Linked DNA regions of Schizosaccharomyces pombe. The gene in region 3 interacts genetically with the main gene of each other region. Each region holds a gene or a part of one and is shown on either strand. Other genes may lie near its edges.

Region 1 (5,441 bases), on a different chromosome or scaffold from region 3:
TAAAAAAGTAAAATTTTTGCATTTTACCATATTTTACTTTAGTTTTAATTTTGTTTTTCATTAAAGACAGTTTATATTGGGTCATTAAGGAAAATTTTTTCCATTCAAGTGAAGACAAATTTTATATTGGTACAAGTTATTCTGTACTTGTCCTTAAACACATCTAATCAAAATAACGCTAAAAAGAAAATTTGAGAGCATGGCGGAAGAAAAAAAGGAAGAATTGTTCACAAGTATTGGCAATGCTGCACAAAATGTGTCAACAGCTGAGGATAGGGAAGGAAATGGTGTTCAAGAAGTCGAATCGTTGTGTATGGAGTGTGGAAAAAACGGTACTACTAAATTATTGTTGACGGTCATTCCATACTTCCGTGAGGTTGTTTTAATGTCGTTTGAATGTCCTCATTGTGGGTTTAAGAATGCGCAAGTTCAACACGCTGAGACAATTCAACCGGAAGGAAGCAAAATTACTTTCCATGTTGAGGATAAGGAAGATTTAAATCGGACAGTTGTAAAGAGCCAGGAGGCTATTGTCAGTATTCCTGAAATTCAGCTAGAAATCCCGGGAAGGTTAGGCCAGTTAACTACCATTGAGGGGATTCTGAGTAATGTGGTGGATGATTTAAGTAAAGAACAAGAATCTCGTAAGGAGTCTGCTCCTCAGTTATATGACCAAATAAATGCTTTCATTGAGAAAGTGAATAGTCTACGTTCTGGATCTGTACCATTTACCATCACAGTTGACGATATTACGGGCAACAGCTGGATCGAGATGAAACCTGGCCGAGATGGTGACCGATGGTCTCAGGTTAGCTACAAGCGTACTTTGGAGCAGAATACGAAGCTGGGTCTTGTGGATACTGATCAACCTGAAGACGTCAAGACACAAACAAACAACGCTTCTAATACACTTAAACATGATGCTACTGCTGTGGAAGTCGATCCCAATGAGGTACATACCTTCCATGCAACTTGTCCCTCTTGTTCACATCAATGTGACACCCACATGAAGTTGCTTGATATTCCCCATTTCAAAGAAGTTATTATCATGTCTACTGTTTGTGATCGTTGTGGATATCGTTCCAACGAAGTAAAAACTGGTGGTGAAATTCCACCCAAAGGTCGAAAAATTACTTTAAAGGTCATGGATGCCGAGGACTTATCCCGTGATATTCTCAAATCTGAAACCGCATCTCTTAAAATTCCTGAACTTGGACTTGATTTGTTCCCAGGTACTTTGGGTGGACGATTCACAACCATTGAAGGTCTTCTAGCTCAAGTTTATGATGAGTTATATGGCCGTGTGTTTTCTCAGGAGACCGATTCTATGACTCCTGAGCAAGTCGCTAACTGGCAACAATTTCTCTGCAACTTGACGGCTGCACGTGAGGGTGCTACTCAATTCACTCTTATTTTAGATGATCCTCTTTCACAAAGTTATCTGCAGAATTATTACGCTCCCGATCCAGATCCAAATATGACTATTGAGGAGTATGAACGTTCATTCCAAGTAAATGAGGAATTGGGTCTGAACGATATGAAGACAGAAAACTATGAAAAGGATGGAGGTAAGAAGTAAAGTTCGAGGTTTTTGTCAAATGTTAGGGAATGTATTTAATATAGTAATACTATGTTTTTTTGGGGGGTTTATTGACTATGAAGATATAATAGTATAGTAGATTAGCTAATTTTTATTTCCCGTAATGTTTTTGTTAGAGACTGATGCTTTATTATTTTACTTTTAGTTTAAAATAGTTACTTGATTTATCGCAAATGTTATGAGGCTAATAATTCGAAGTATTAGTAAACCATAAAATTTGCTACAAGAAATGTTAGATAGTGAAGCTAAAATTATTACCAATAACAAACTTGTAACACATATTTAGCCGATACCAGAAATAATTGATTCATATTTCACAATTTCATTATTTGTATACCATGTTTAGTGAAGGGTAACAATGGTGCGTAATTTAAAGAACGCGACACGCTATAATAGTAATAGAATTTAATTTATATATACATCTAGATATTTCTCAACACATACCATTGGTATAAACAGCACTTTCCTTTTTTTTTTGTTTGAATCCTTATCCCTCTTTTCCTACCCTTTCTTCTATTTCAGTAATCTCTTTTTTAATAATTGCTAATATATTTAATGATTCAGCAACCAACAACTGCTAAACCTAGAATTTCTACTTCTTCAAAGTTAAATACTGTTTTATCAAAAAACAAAGAGAATGTTCCTGGAAAGTTGTTTAAAAAGTTTAAATGCCCTTCTTTAGTGATTTCAGAAAAGCGAAAAGAGCTTCCTTTACGCAAAAAGCCAAGAGTTAACTACAGCGAATATGGTTCTGTTGATGGGAAGTATGATTCAGCTTACGTATCTGAAAATGTGTCTGGGTTGGCAACCATCAAAGAAGCTAATCGATTAATACTAAATCATGAACGACGAGATCCCTCAACAGTCATTAAGAAACAGTTCTCTGTGCCTAAACCTATCAAGGGTCATGAAGATATATCTAAACTGTGTGCACATCGTCCACCTCCTACACTGGGAATGAAAAGGAAGGTGGATTTTATTCCTCGTCCCCTTTACGATCCTGCTGATGAATTTGCTATCGTTTTATATGATCCCACTACTGATGCAGATGAGATCATTCCTGATATAAAAGAGGTCTTAGCGGAAAAACGTAAAAAAGATGAATTGTTAAAAAATCGAAAAGGAAAGAAAGAAATTTCTGATAGTGAGCCTGAAAGTGACCATGATTCATGTGTCTCCACTGACACAGTGGCTAGCTGTTCTACCGAGCAAAGTCTCATAACCTCTAATACCTCAAAGCATAGAAGACCAAATAAAAGTTTGAAAGATCTACTAGGAATTCAGAAAGAAAAACCTCCACCTCCTCCTGTTGCTGTTGTCATTGATCCAAAACTTGCTCGTATTCTAAGACCTCATCAAATAGAAGGTGTCAAATTCTTGTACAAGTGTGTAACTGGAAGGATTGACCGTTGTGCAAATGGATGTATTATGGCAGATGAGATGGGACTTGGTAAGACACTTCAATGTATTGCTTTGTTATGGACCCTTTTAAAACAGTCTCCTCAGGCTGGAAAACCGACAATTGAAAAGGCAATTATAACTTGTCCTTCTTCTTTAGTCAAAAATTGGGCTAATGAACTTGTCAAATGGTTAGGAAAAGATGCTATTACTCCATTCATATTGGACGGTAAAAGCTCCAAACAGGAGTTAATCATGGCTTTGCAACAATGGGCATCCGTACATGGACGACAAGTCACACGTCCAGTGCTTATTGCCAGTTATGAAACCCTTAGAAGTTATGTTGAGCATCTCAACAACGCAGAAATTGGAATGCTTCTTTGTGACGAAGGTCATCGTCTTAAGAATAGTGATTCTTTGACTTTTACGGCATTAGACAAGCTAAACGTTCAAAGGCGTGTCATCCTTTCTGGTACCCCTATTCAAAATGATCTAAGCGAATACTTTTCGTTGTTAAATTTTGCGAATCCTGGGTTGTTAGGTTCAAGGCAAGAGTTCAGAAAAAATTATGAAATTCCAATTTTAAAAGGTCGTGATGCTGACGGAACAGAAAAAGATAAGGAGAATGGTGATGCTAAGTTAGCTGAGTTAGCCAAGATTGTCAATCGGTTTATTATTCGTCGTACGAATGATATTCTCTCCAAATATTTGCCTGTTAAATACGAACATGTTGTCTTTTGCAACCTTTCCGAATTTCAGCTTTCTTTGTACAAGCATTTTATTACCTCGCCTGAAATCAATAAAATCTTAAGGGGGACCGGCAGTCAACCACTAAAAGCTATAGGTCTGCTAAAAAAAATATGTAATCATCCTGATCTATTGAATTTAACTGAGGACTTGGAAGGTTGTGAGGCTCTATTCCCTCCAGGATTTATTCCCCGTGAGCTAAGAGGGCGCGATAGAAACATTGACTCCTCTTTATCAGGTAAAATGTTAGTGTTGGAACGAATGCTCTATCAAATAAAACAAGAGACAGACGATAAAATTGTTTTAATTAGCAATTACACCTCCACGCTTGACTTGTTTGAGCAGCTTTGTAGAGCTCGCGGTTACAAGGCTCTTCGGCTAGATGGTACTATGAATGTAAATAAACGACAACGTTTAGTTGACACATTCAATGACCCGGAAAAGGATGCTTTTGTGTTTTTATTATCTTCTAAAGCAGGTGGTTGTGGTATTAACCTTATTGGCGCTAATCGTCTTATTCTGTTTGATCCCGATTGGAATCCAGCCGCCGATCAACAAGCTTTAGCTCGAGTTTGGCGTGATGGGCAAAAGAAGGACTGCTTTGTTTACCGTTTCATAGCTACTGGAACCATCGAAGAAAAGATATTCCAAAGGCAGTCTCATAAGCAATCTTTGTCTTCTTGTGTTGTGGATGAAGCTCAAGATGTCGAAAGACATTTTTCGCTTGATAACTTAAGGCAGCTGTTTCAGCTTAACGATCACACAGTCTGTGAAACTCATGAAACATATAAATGTAAACGGTGTCGTGATGGAAAACAATTCATCCGAGCCCCAGCCATGTTATACGGTGATACTAGCACATGGAATCATTTTACAAATCCCACATTAGACCGAATAGAAGATCACTTGCTAAAACGTGAGGCAGGAAAACAGCAAGTGAGTACCGTTTTCCAATACAAATCTCATTAATTTTTACGTGTTTAATTACGCTGCTCTCTTCACAAATCCTCATATTTTCATTTAGTTTGATTTGTCTTTAAACTACTCTCACCTCTCTTTATCCCTGTTTGATTTGCTATTCGATGCATAAAACAATATCATGAATTTAATTCCGGTTTTTAAAATATAGTTTTTAATTTAATTAATATCCAACCCTCAATTGTATCCTACCAAACCTCAATTACTCCTTGGTAAGCTTTGTGACAAAATTATTACGAATTTACAGGTATGCTGAAATAAATTTTTTTTTTTAGAATGTTATATTCAATTGTTAAGAGCATATAATTTGTCATATTTTTCTGAAACATTTGAAATTGCATTTGTTAGTATTCGAACCCGTGACAGTTTTAGCACTGCTTTTCTATATTAAGATTGGGATGTCTCGAATTTTTGTTATTAACCATGTAGCTACTTTTAGGCAAACTGCATACATCTTATATGCTTTTTGTCACTCTAATAGCTTATATAAACATTGCTTATGTCTAAATACTTTGGACGTTCAAACTCGTGAATGTTCCAATATAGGTAGAAGCTTACATAACCAATTATTTATTTAAGGGTTGTTTCATTTGCAATCTTATATATTACTTCTAAATATTATATATGCATATTTACTTAACAAAAATAGTAACATTCAATAGTAGTTAGACCCGGATTATAAAGCCAATCGACAAATATCAAGTTTGCTGGCAACGGA
Region 2 (7,737 bases), on a different chromosome or scaffold from region 3:
CATGGAATTTTTTTAATTTTCATTTATTAATAAATATTGTTTTTGAATATTATTATTAAAAAAAAAAGGGGGGATTTGTGCGAAGGAGTCTTGTGAAGTGTGGTCGTAAAATGAAGTCTAAACTTTTATAAGCTCTTAAATGGAATGGGCTATGGTGCTTACAAGTTATTTTACTAGGACAGAAAGATAGTCTGAGCATCTTTAATAGTACAGTAGATACCTTTTTTTTTTTTTTTTTTTTTTTTTTTTTTTTTACAATAGGATTTTATGCTTTGTTGAAATTAGCACTATTGACTGCAAACACTTCAATGCACGATACAAAAAATCTACATGCCAGCTTTCATTATATGACAAAAAAAGCTTCAATTTTTTAGTAACTAAAAACAATAGAAGGAGCTTCTGTCTTAAATTTATGTAGCGAAATCCTTATGGAGGTTAAGGCACATAGGTTCATTGAATTTCTTCATGTATACCTGGACTTTCACCTGCCTGTGAGGAATCTTCAGTAAACGATCTTACCAATGAGGATGAAGTGGAAGCCAACTTTTGCAATATTTTGTTCTGGGTTTCACGATAGTAAGTTTCTCTATGAGGTCTAAACAGTGCTAATACTTTAGAAACCACGTCCTTCCTTGTAATAACAGTTTTTTGTTTTACAGAATTTTCATTATTAATAGCCTTCTCGTCATTCAGAGGTTTGGCCGTGATCGTACTGGGTGAGTTCGGAATATTGGCATCTAAAGGGGAGATCGAAGACTTCACTTCGTTATAAAGGCTCATGAAACAGTCAATAAGAAAATCATCGACCTTAATTGTTGGATATAGGCCATTGTTCAGTTTCCTGATTTCATATACTTGATGAAGAAGGCTCAACTTTTGTTCATCTAATAAACTTATTTCTTTGTAGACATATTTAAATTCCACAAGTGGTAAATCATTAATCTGAGTCTCTTTTACGGAGTGCTGAAGTCTCAAGTCTTCAAGGTACTTGATCATTATGTCCAGCCAAATTTGACGGTGTTCATAAATAGTGGAGGATGAACGACGAAATCTTTTTAAAAACTGCAAAAAGTTTACCTTGTCGTTGGTTTTGTAAAAAAGGGAGAGTAGATATCTTGAATAGGTAGCACCGTAATAAAAATGCCGTCCAGGTCTTTCATTAGGAGTCCTCCAAATGTTCAATAGCGATTTCCCGCTAGTTTTGTATGAGAATAAAGTTTCCATTTCTTCCTTTGCTTGTTGAACATTACCTAAATGCTCCATGATTTTAGCAATGCGATAAGTTGGTCGATGGTGCCAAGATTGTTTATCCAAAATACGCATCTCTGCTAACGCCTTTAGTATAAATAGTAAAGCATTCCTTTTGTAAATGTTTACGTCTTCGTTTTTGACTTCCAAAAGGCTTCCTGAATCTTTAGGAGGATGTCGGATACGTCGTAAATATGAAAGAATTTGAACGATTTCCACTGAACCTTCTATAGCAGCCTTGCTCAAATTGGAAAGTAAGGCATAATGTGGCTCAATAAGCAATGCTTGCTGGGAACCACTACCTGATTTAGTAGGAGCCAACGCAGCAGCAGCCTCAAAATGGACCAAAGCATTCTCCATATCACCACATTTACGGCATGCTTTGCCTAGCATGTACAAAGCTCTCCAATCATTACTTAATTCAGCAGACATGCCAAAATAGTCAGCAGCCAAAGCTATAACTTTTGATACTTCAATTGGCTTCATTGATAAATTATAAAGACCCGAAGCCCCACTAAAAACACGGGTTTCACTGGGAAGAAAAGCCGCCATCTCTAAAGGAGGTCGAGCGGATGCATAAAGGTTCATAGCAAAATCAAAATAGACGTTTGCCTTAAATAATTTGTCCTGAGTGAATGGCAACGATAAGGCCATTAAGTTACAAAGGATGGCTTTTCTCCTATACTCGTTGATGACATCGTCTGCGAGGCAGATTTGCTCTGCACTCCAGCCAAGCTCTTCATCTGCTAATGAAGAAAATACGGAGGAACAAGTATACCATGAATCTTGTCGACGTGGATTAAGGTACAAGTCAAGAAGAAAATACTTGATGATCACAAGTAAATCGTTAATGCATCTACTACCTTTCAGTCTAGAGCGATAATATCCAAACAGTACTTGAGATTGAGCATAGTAGAGCCCCCTAACACGATCATCCACAACCTTGCTACCAATTTCGCGTAAACCAAGGATGTCATTGGACTTTAGTAACATTTTGGTAAGTTGTGGAGATATATCTCTTTCCAAAAATTCTTTAATTGCACATTTGTTGAAATAAACGTCAGCATTATTTTCACCAGGAAACCTAATTACCTTACAAATTATTTCTAATGCGTTTTTTTGATCAGAACGAGGCATTACCCAGCCATGCGACCGTTTGACAGCAAAGCCGAGTATGAAAGGTATTATCTTTATGGCATCATTTGAAGTCAAATTAACAGAATCTGACTGATGAGATTGTGGAACATAGTACTCGCTGCCAATAATTAGGTTAAAGCGACAACAAACGCATTGTAAAATTTCATTTTCGTTTTCCCAAGCATCTAATCGTTGGCATTCAGTTTGAGAGAGTTCTAAAAATGATTGATTAGAGCTCGAACAATAACCTCTAAAGGAATATTGGCTATGTATTGCGGTAAGGATTTGAGGTAATAACTTTTGAGCATCAGCTTTAATAAAATCGTAATGAAGTAAATGCGCAAACAGAGTGTAAAATATGCACCAACCACTCATCAAAGAATCTTTTACCGTTTGAGCATAAGAATCAAACTCAGGGTTTGAAGGTTTTGGAATCCTTTGATCCGAAATGTCCTCATCTATTCCAACATAAATAGCAAAAGTGCGCAAGTATATAAGGATAATTCTAATGCAATCAATGACAGTCATCTCGTTACAGGGAGACAATATATCAGGTTGCTCATGTAATTTTTGCCAAATAATCCTGAATAAATTTGAAGAAAAATTAAGCATGCCGAGTAGTTCAGCCTGACGGCGACCGGCATCTTGAATACTGAATGACGAAGAACAAAGCCTAATTAAAATAATTTTTAGCGATTGAAAGGCACACAACAACGAATTATAAGGTCTATGTGCTGAGCTATAAGCCTGATACAGTAAATACCATAAGTGTATTTGAAATTCAGTAGAAGTCTTTTCCAAAAATTGAGAAATAAATTTTGCTTGAGGATCTTCTGCAAATTTGTTTTCAGGAGAAAGGACGGGTTCCAAATTTTTTATAACGGCATTAAAGTCCAAGTTTTTGGTATTCATAAATAAAGTATTAAAAAACTCAACGGTTTGTAATTTGGAAAGTTCAAAATCGACAACCTGAACGCTCAAATCTGCCATGCATTGACTGTTTAAAAGTTCAAGAGAATCACTGTTTTCTTGCAAAAGACAACGCAACTGTTTGAAATTTTCAACTATAGCCTCACTAGAACAACCAGTTAACCGTAACAATAAGTTTCGAGCCCATGAGTTTCTAATTATCAAATGTCTTTGGCTAGAACTTTTACAAGACGGCTGCAATTCGACTACTTGTTCAGTAAGAGATTTCCAACGTAAGCAACGTAATTTTTTATATTCCAATGACTCAGTTGGTATTTCAGAAACATTATCGTCTTTTTGATCATTGGAGCTAAACTTGAGCGCTAAAAAGTAATCGTCTAAAAACAGTTCAAAAAGCGATTGTGAAATATTAAAAACTTCAGGGGTTTGTAAGCTTGCCTTCACCAGTTCGTGAAGAGTGCTTTCAATTCTCTCACAAATTGTAGTAAATTTCTTTTTAAATATTTTCCCCCAACATTGCTGCAAATAGAATGGAGGCTCTAATTTTCGAGGCCTTAACATACTCTCAACAAAGAATGTAGCAAGCTCAGCGGGAACCATATTGAGACTATTTACTTCACTTAATAATTGAAGAAGATAACCATCCGGGACCTGCATATGCTCAAGTCTATTAGCACTATGCATAGCTAAATCAATAAGAATCATTTTGGAGAAAGCTCCGTTAGCTGCTGAGTCGGTCGAAACATCTAGGTCCGGAATACTGCCTTCGCTAGGAAAATTAACTAGTAATTGATGATAGTCTTCAAATATGGAACTATATTCTCGAAACATAGATTCACCTGAAAACGGGGAAGTTGCGTCAGGAAATCTTTTTTGGATTTGCTCATTAATATCCGAAGTTATGCTTGCAATCAAAGAAAACAAGTTCGACTCTGAAGGCGTTCGTAAGTCTCTACCACGAGATCTTTTACTAATGCGTACATCGGAATCATCTATCGGCCTCTTAAGGAGTTGGGGTTTAGGCAAATTATCCGAAGGAGGTGGAACAATGTCCTTGGCATAAACAGGTTCAGACAATTTTGCAGCTGTATTAATAGTATTAGTATCGGGCCCTGCATCTGAAATTTCAGACCATAATTCTGAATCAGTGGATTCCAAATCATGCGATTCTGCGGTGCTCAAATTCAGGGAATGAACATGAATAATTAATGTCGAAGGAAAACCACGAGTCGGGGTTTTTTTTTCATTTATCTGTAATGCATATAGAACAAGATCTAAAAAACCATGAAGAGTGTCATGAGATAGTTGAAGTTTTTTTATTTTCGGGCATAAGTTTATGGACCTTCGATGAAATGAAGGAGTGGGTAATTGAGGAAAAAAAGAAGGCAAAGTATAAAGAGAACTAATCGACAAATCCAATTGCGGTAAGGGTTCTGCTATACCGCCTAACTTTTTTAACAAATTGTATAGGTTTTGTAGAGAGATAAGCTTCCCAGGATTTAAATCATCAATATTCGTAAATACTCTCTCCGCGTCAAAGGGTTCGTAGCCGGTATAAAATGATGACTCTAAAGCAAATCTTTGAATTCTTGGCATTTCCAATTTTTCAGCTAACTCGGCAACAAAAGACCAAAGTTCTATGTCATTGTAATCGCAAGCCAATGCAATAGCAAAATCGAGCAGGGCGTCCCGATACACAGGGATGGGATCGGTTGAAGGATCTAAGGATAATAAAGATTGTAGCTTTGACAGCAAAAACAAACCATGATTTTTTCTAGTGAGGTAATGTAGTAGCAATAAAGCATTATTTTTTTTATAATTAGAATTAACGGTAAAAGGGAGTTCGCGAAGAATTCGAACATTCAATAGCTCATCGTAATACTTTGTAGCAGCATTGTCATCTCCCTGCTTCTGGGCTGAAAGTGCATTTTGATATATTTGAACAGCTTCTTCAATTCGGATTTCTAAAGTGCGTTTTTCCTTATCCAGATCTTCACTGGCCGCATTTAGAGGAGTAAACGTTGCCATAACCTTAATATGAGACTTCCAAATTGATCACTGTATAAAACTGTAACCAGAAATTGAAAAAAGTATGTAGATAAGATGTTAAAGTTGTAGATAAAGGAAGCGATGTATTACAAAAAGCGTCAAACAACTGTGGTTTTCAATACTATACTCCGCAAAAGCATTGAGCAATAAGCCTGCATTGGAAGATCAAGCTATTGAGCGTCCTAAATTCAGATTTCAGCTCTCTACACACCTTCAAAAAGCAAAGATAATTAAAATAAGTGCTAATAACAAAAAAAAAATTAAAAACTCCCAACGCAAACAAAACCTCAGGAAATCAATCAGTGCGTTTACAGATGTTTATATTAAGTCATAAAATCGGTATGAATTCACTAATTCCCAAGGCAATTTAAGGCTGGTTCTTTAATGTTTTGATGCACTGAACAAACTTTTGAACTTGGGTGACGACTACTTTTTTAAGTAGGAACAGATTATGAATTGCAATCAAAAGCAAACTTTTATAGTTTTAAGGGATGTTTATCATAAGGATATTGTTTTGTAACTCTTCTCTTACTACAGACTTTATCAAAGTAGTTTAGTAATTTCTTTGATGTCGTTAAGAAAGCGTAAGTGGTGACTTTTGTCTTTGCTGTGTAACGTATTTAGTTCGTGGTTTTCAAAAAGAAGAGTGTGTTGATTTTCTGCATCGTTAATACCGCACGTTGCCTTCGACTACAAACGCCAACATAGACAGGTGCAGACAGGTCTCAAACACGTCTTTAGTGGCATATCTAGAGACCCAAGTAGTCACTAAATAGCGAAGTTAAACGATACACTATATCCTTGCAAGAAGAGAAAGAGTACAAGGCATCAAGTGGAGTTTGTTTTGAATGTAATGCGATTTCGTATGTATACCCTGTTTCTTTCATTCGGGCTCTAAAATTGTATTCATACAATTAAAAATTTTTTAATGGGTGAGTTTGCATGATTGTTTGAAAACAGTAGAACAAGCAATTTTGTTCGACGTTGAAGCCATTTTTTAGAAACTAGATAACGATACAAACAATTAAGAACATAGTATTGTAGTAAGTTTACTGTGTAATGCGACTATAAATGATCTCGGTAGTAGCAAAAACAAAAACTACGTTAATGAATGATATTAGTGACAAAACTCACTTACTTCTAAATTAGCTACATCTCATTATAGTAAAATCAACAATTTTTGGTTTTGAGACAAAGGCCGATTATAGATTTGATCGAAAATACAGAGCAACCACAATGATTTGAAGTGCCATTCTCAACAGTTTTAAGAAAACAGAGCAAACTACCTTGTTCTATTAAACTTCATCATTAAAAAAAGTAATAAAAATTTATTGAAAGGATCAGTTAGTAATTCAACGTTAAGTCGAATATAGTAATCATTATAAGAGATTGTAAACCATCAGTGATATCTGTTGAAATGAGTGAAACATCAAATGAAGCTGAAATATTACCAATGGGTAATGAAGGACAAAAAATTCGTTTGTAGCCTTTATTTTCATTCCTTATCAGCAGACTTTGCCGAATTGTAAGACTCCGTTTTTTCCTGAGCGCCATTTTTCCATCGAGTATAAAGGAACTCTGCATCACCATGAGTTTTAACCTCGTTTTTAATTTCCGGTTTTAAGGCTTGACGAACAGTTTGGGAACAAATAGAAGCATATTTGCTATAACTACAAATATTCATTCATTAGTAAAACTATCAGGGTATATTTAATGTTCACATTCAAGAAATGAATCCATACCTAAAGTTTTTCTTCCAAGCAAAAGCCATTTTCTCAATGAATTGCTAAATCGTACAGAGATGGGGGAACGGTAACTTAAAATCCATGACACTCTCTTGAAACCCCGTTCGGTAAGGGTCGGACACATTTATTGAGTTCAATATGTACATTCGTTAATCTAACATTGGTAACGTGCTTTTCTTAGTAAAATATAGCGCAGTTTGATTAAAATGACTTTGGTGATGCTAACGATTCATCGCTATACAGATTGCCTTTTTATTAATCAACACTATTCAGTAAATAAATATTCAAAAGGCCGTATTAATTTGAATTGACAAATGAATATATACCTCTCATCAGTCAAAAGGCTGGTTATTTTCGCTACTAACCATAATTTATTAGAAGGACAAAGCGGTACCAAAGCCTTAATTGTTTACTAGCTGGGCAAGTGAAAGTAATTCAATACATTCGCAAGAAAACTGAACTTAAGCACTGTTACGTTTCTCACTTTGTTTAATCTTAACACTTATCGTAGTTAATTTAAAAATGTCAGTTAAAACAAGCAATGTATACTAGCACTCTCCATTGATTGTATTTAGTCAAATTAGCTTTCTTGATGAGCGTTAACATGAATGGCTTAAGCATAAATTTC
Region 3 (5,203 bases):
AATAGAGAGAATGATGCTTTTGGGTACCATTGAAAGAGTAAAATCAATAGGCATGAAGATAGGCGTATTATTCCTTAAAGATAATCGGTGTCTCAAACTACGAGAAGTCACTGCCAAATTCGAATTATTGGATAACAAAAATATTAATCTTAAAACTTCTAAAGGTAAAGACTCAAAAACCGTTAACGCTCTAGCTTTTCCATCAGTCAAATTATTTTTGACCTTTCTTTTCGTAATTTTTTCATTATAGTCATTTTTTATGGTCTGTTTTCGCTTTTTACCCATCTTTAACAAGATTTTTGGAGCTCACCAACAGACACTATTTAGTGCTGAAAAATTTAAACATGTATAGAAAATAAATGACTACAAAAGATAATTTAACTTAAAATATTTACAACATTTTCATAATAACCCAAATAGTTGGTTTTTTAAAAGAAAAGAATAAATCTGATACTTATTTGCTCAAAGGTTCAAAGAAGAAACTCAAGGTTTTGAAAAAGCAATGTATGTGCTACTAAAAAATGAAAATCAAAACCTAGAATTGTACTAACAACACCAAAAACAAGCTGAAATCTAATGTTTAAAAAAAAAAAATTAATTATATGTAAAAGAGCTAAATAAGTATAGCTAAAACCTAAATGAACTATGGAAAAATAAATGTTGATAATAATACATGAAGGAAACCAGAAATCAAAATTCAGTACTGTTTTTTGAATTAAAAATTATATGTAACAAAGTCGGCTTGAGAGAGAAGTTTCAACGTACGAAAGAAAAATTAATTTCAAATAAAGTCACCATCTTCGTCCGAATCGAGATCGCGTCCTTGTGTAGTCATGGCATGCTTAAATTTTAGCATTTTTAACTTTGCCCTTTTGATCTTGCTACTCGTTGAAGCAAGTGTTACTGTATTTACAAATGGCAAATCCGTAATGTTTGACGAAAAAGGCTCAATAGGTAACGAACAAGACTCTTGAAAAGTTGGTAAAATAGGAGATTTCTTTCCCGCTTTAGAAAAAATATCCGGAATTTTGGTAAGTATTTTCGGAGGCTTTTGGTTTTTGCTGGGTGAGAGATTTACAGCTCGAACAGTAGGCGAGGATGAAATGGTATCCGAAGGAGAAGAGTCCGTTTCAATAGCATTAGGAACATTTCCTTTTTTCTTTTGGACTTGGTCCGAAGAAGAAACAGTAAACGAAGGGACATTAAAAGGGCTAGAAAATACCGACACATTTCTGGATTTCGAGTTTTTAGGCAACGACGAATGTTCCCCTGAAGATATTATAGAAGTAGCTCCAAAACCGTCTTTTCTTTTCGAACCATTTGCATATTTAGGATATATCAACAAGCCTGTTCTCAGCGATACACCTGAATGTTTGGCCAAGGAAGGATGTTTGGCATGTTCAAGCACAGTAGAAGGTGAAACGTTAGGATTGACTGCATTGTTGGATTGTAGAAAGATTGAAGAAGAAGCACTAGATCCATTAAGTTCGTTTGAGCGAAGGGACGTGCCTAAGTGAGAGTGACTCCTACCAAACGAGGACGAAGATGCTGGTTTAACTAAAGGAGATGAAAAAGACGGTACACGAAACTTCACGGGTTGAAAGGCTTTTTTGTTGGGCAAAGCCAAAGGTGTTAAAAGAGATGACGAATCTAGCGAAGGAATGTGTTCATCCTCTTCTGATGCTGCATCTAGAAAATCAGGAGAGTTTGGTATTTCATTATCAGTTGTTTCTGTTACATTTTGAAGCGATGCCAGCTCGGCAGCAGTTTTGACACTTCTTTCGTACAAGTTTTTTGAGGGGTCGGTAACTGTGATATTAATAAAGTTTTGTCGTTTCCCCGTGGGTTTCCGAAGCAGAGGTAACGGAAGGCGAGTCAAACGGAGACGTTTAGAAGTAGGACTGGGTTCTGCAACAGAAGAATCTTGTCTTTGATGATCATCATTTAGCCCATCGTTTTTGTTGGAAGGTATGGTATTACAAGCGCGGGAAGAATGAGGAGATCGAGCATGATTATTAGAAACTTCTTCATTTCCATTTTCTAATGCCTTCACGGAGACACTTACGTTATCATTACTTAGGTTTTGTAACAAATGACCAGCATTTGAATTATTTAGAGTGGTAAAATCATCTGCCTCGAGATCGGCAGAAGGGGAAGAAAAAAAGTCAGAAGCTATGTCGTCTTCTCCAAATTCTTCTACAGGATCTTCAACCAAGGTGCCATTAAAAGACTTGGGTTTTGACAAAACAGGGATATATGCAATTTTCGAAGGTTTCGGTAGCGCAGTTACGGATGAGTTAGATGGGGGATAGGGAGAGGTATTGTTAGCTCGATTAGATTCCTCAACAGAAGAAGCTAGATATGAGTTTGGTCTAAACTTAGCTTTGGGTTGTATTTCCGGTGTTACTGACAGTTGATGCTTACTTGAACATCTCAAACTACCAATATCTGAGTCATCTACTCCATAAGATTGCAAATTTGCGTTCCGGAAGATCGTGGATTTTGTTGAATTTGTATGATGAGCGTGTGTTTTTAACATATTTGACGATAAAGCACCATTTGAATTGTTAGATACATCTGAGTTAGCGGAGTGAAATGGAGGCTGGAATGGTTTTAATAAATAAGCTGGCCTCTTCCCTGTCTCACTCAATTTTGATTTCCTCGGTATAGGTGGAATATTCGCTTCAGTAGTTGTTTGTAAATTCTCAACGTAAACAATAGTTCTATTAAATTCAATTTCAGAATCCAGAACAATTCTCTTGTTGTTAAGGAAAAAATCATCTACGACTCGGTTATCAGAATCGTAGAGAATTCCACGATTATTGAAGCTGTGGAAGCGCATTGTCCCATCTTTCCAAACTTTTACTTTTTTTGCTTTATCAGACGTCCACAATACTTGATAATGAAAAACATTGGAACTTGTATCCATAGAATATAAGTTTTAAAGCCTGTAAAGGCAGTTCCGAAAGGTGGCTTACGAAAAGCTTAATATTGTTGAAAAAAACTCACAAACCACCCTATTTAATAATTAATTAAAGAATAAGAGTGAGAATATCTATTTCATGTATAAACCTCATTTGAGCATTAATTGCTCTCGCTTTAGGAATGGGAATTACGTGCTTTTGTTGGATGGTAGTTAGGAAATGGTTGGTATACAGCAGAAAGTTGAAATCTAGGAAAGTAAATGATCTCAAGCCAGAAAATTACATCTTTGTAGAATCCTTAAACAAGGTTTCCTTTTCTTTTCTTTTTCTTTATGAACTACAAACGAGTTGAGCTTTTGGTTATTGATATGAGGTACTTGTTTACACGCCGAAATGATTGAAGGTAACTTTATAATACGCAAGCAGAAGCAGATTATCTCTTGAGATGGTTTCAAGAGAGATGCTTATTTTTATTAATTTTACTAATCTACAAGGTCTAATATTTGATGGGTTTTTCTTTAGTAAAAGGTCTCTTAGTGCCCAAGGAAGCAAAACTGTTAGATAATTTTCAATATCCTGTATCGAGAAACGGAAACAATGGTTAATAATCCCGATTGATAGTTTCATAGGGACAGACTGTGTGTATACATAATGATATATAAAAAAAGATGTCTTTTTTCACCTTAAACCATGAAGTTTACAGTTGAGCTTACAGAGGCAGATTGCTTCAAATATTCGTAATGTAAAATTATTTATCTTGTAAATTTGTATCTATCGTCGCATTATAATAGAGAATCTAAACATAGCAGTTGGAGATAAAACTGATTCTTTTGTTCTTCTATCGCTTTTGAGGTTTGCAGGCAAGAAAATTCATCAAAGATGATTGATGATACGATTAGGTGCAAAAGTACTTATGTTATAATTTTAGCAACATAAAAGGCCTATAGAGGGTAATTCTGCTCGAAATCTTGAACTTGCAATTCTCATCACCATGTCGAAGATAGGTACAAATTAAGTTATTAAAGTTGGTTTAAGCGCACTGATAGAAATTTACCTAAAATTTAGTACTTGGACGAAATTTAGGAGAAAAAAGCCCAAGAAGATGAAGAAAGTTGTTTCATTGTAATAATAAACCTGAAATCTTTTGTCAATTCTAATTAATACCCTTTCAAAAAAGAAGACTGATCTTTGCAATCACTAAAACTATTAAATTTATTGAGCAGCTGAAGAATCATCTGTCTATAATTTGCAACAAGAAGTAACTGAAGGGGAGTTAAAAAATGAGTATCAACCATTATGGCATCTGTCGCTTTGCTTCTTCTTCTTTAAGCTAAGTAATTTCGATTATATGCTCCAAGAACTAAGTATATTAATTAAATCATGAAATATTTTCAAGGATAAAATTAAAACAATTTTGTACTATTAAAAAAATGTAATTACTGTTGTGCGTATTCCAGATATCAGCTTGCTCTATAATCATCAAAAAACCTGTAATTATAAGCGAGTAACACTAATAAAACCAGACAGACTTTAAATCAAAAAATTTCATTTATTAGCTCGTATATCTGAAAAAGATAGGCAAATTTTTTTATTAAAGGAAGTCCCAGAAATGACTTCACTTGAGAAGATATATCGCTAAAACTAGAATTTGTATTGCAATATCAAATAAAAATTACAATTATTCTGATTTTATAAATCAATTTTTAAGCTATGTAGTAATGTACAATTAATACACATGTAGTTAGAAGAGTCGCCAAAATTTGCATAAGAAGTATTAAGGTTCTTTTTACTAATATCAGAGAGGGTCTTTAAAATTATTTAAATTTTCTTTTTCTTACTTAGGGAAACTGGCATTTTTGCTATATGATGCGAACCCTTTATTTACACTTGACTCTACTATGACAACTACCTCCTGCTCTTACTTACTGCCATAACCGTGAATAGACATTTGAATAGAAACTTCGATCTTCACTCATAGTTGGAACTTTTATAGTACGAAAAAAACATTATAAGTTAAATTACTTGTTTGGGAATAAACCTCAAGTTAAGCATTCAGTTCATTATGGAACGATATGTAACCATCGCATCTTGGTATGCTATAATCATTTTTCGTCTCAATGATCTAACTTCTGTAGTCAGCTGAACCAGTGGGCAATGGACTTTGAGGGAAACCGTCTACGCATCATTGATTCCATCAAAGAGGCGAAAAGACAAAACGCAAGCCTTCGTGTTGGTCCAGAATTAGAAGTCACGTATGTAATAGAAATGGATTTAAATGT

What was found.
Region 1: of dbl2 (region 3) and rad54, a mutation in one rescues a mutant of the other (synthetic rescue), as found in Schizosaccharomyces pombe (one study listed by BioGRID).
Region 2: mutations in dbl2 (region 3) and hip3 impair growth when combined (synthetic growth defect), as found in Schizosaccharomyces pombe (one study listed by BioGRID).

The regions. Positions count from the first base shown.
Region 1 is NC_003424.3:3,679,860-3,685,300, reverse strand, and holds rad54 (DNA repair protein), read left to right. Parts: upstream 1-2,035; 5' UTR 2,036-2,155; coding exon 2,156-4,714; 3' UTR 4,715-4,941; downstream 4,942-5,441. Other genes in the region: EF-1 alpha-binding zinc finger protein Zpr1, read left to right, coding at 200-1,579. UniProt on the Schizosaccharomyces pombe protein: Plays an essential role in homologous recombination (HR) which is a major pathway for repairing DNA double-strand breaks (DSBs), single-stranded DNA (ssDNA) gaps, and stalled or collapsed replication forks.
Region 2 is NC_003423.3:3,777,328-3,785,064, forward strand, and holds hip3 (histone chaperone Hip3), read right to left. Parts: upstream 6,001-7,737; 5' UTR 5,344-6,000; coding exon 451-5,343; 3' UTR 333-450; downstream 1-332. Other genes in the region: histone chaperone Hip1, read right to left, coding at 1-23; F0-ATPase epsilon subunit Atp15, read right to left, coding at 6,860-7,034, 7,107-7,135. UniProt on the Schizosaccharomyces pombe protein: Has a role in a nucleosome assembly pathway that is required for the integrity of heterochromatin and proper chromosome segregation.
Region 3 is NC_003421.2:308,265-313,467, reverse strand, and holds dbl2 (DNA recombination protein Dbl2), read right to left. Parts: upstream 3,155-5,203; 5' UTR 2,930-3,154; coding exon 782-2,929; 3' UTR 573-781; downstream 1-572. Other genes in the region: SPOM_SPCC736.02 (uncharacterized protein), read right to left, coding at 1-285; qns1 (glutamine-dependent NAD(+) synthetase), read left to right, coding at 4,987-5,015, 5,060-5,176.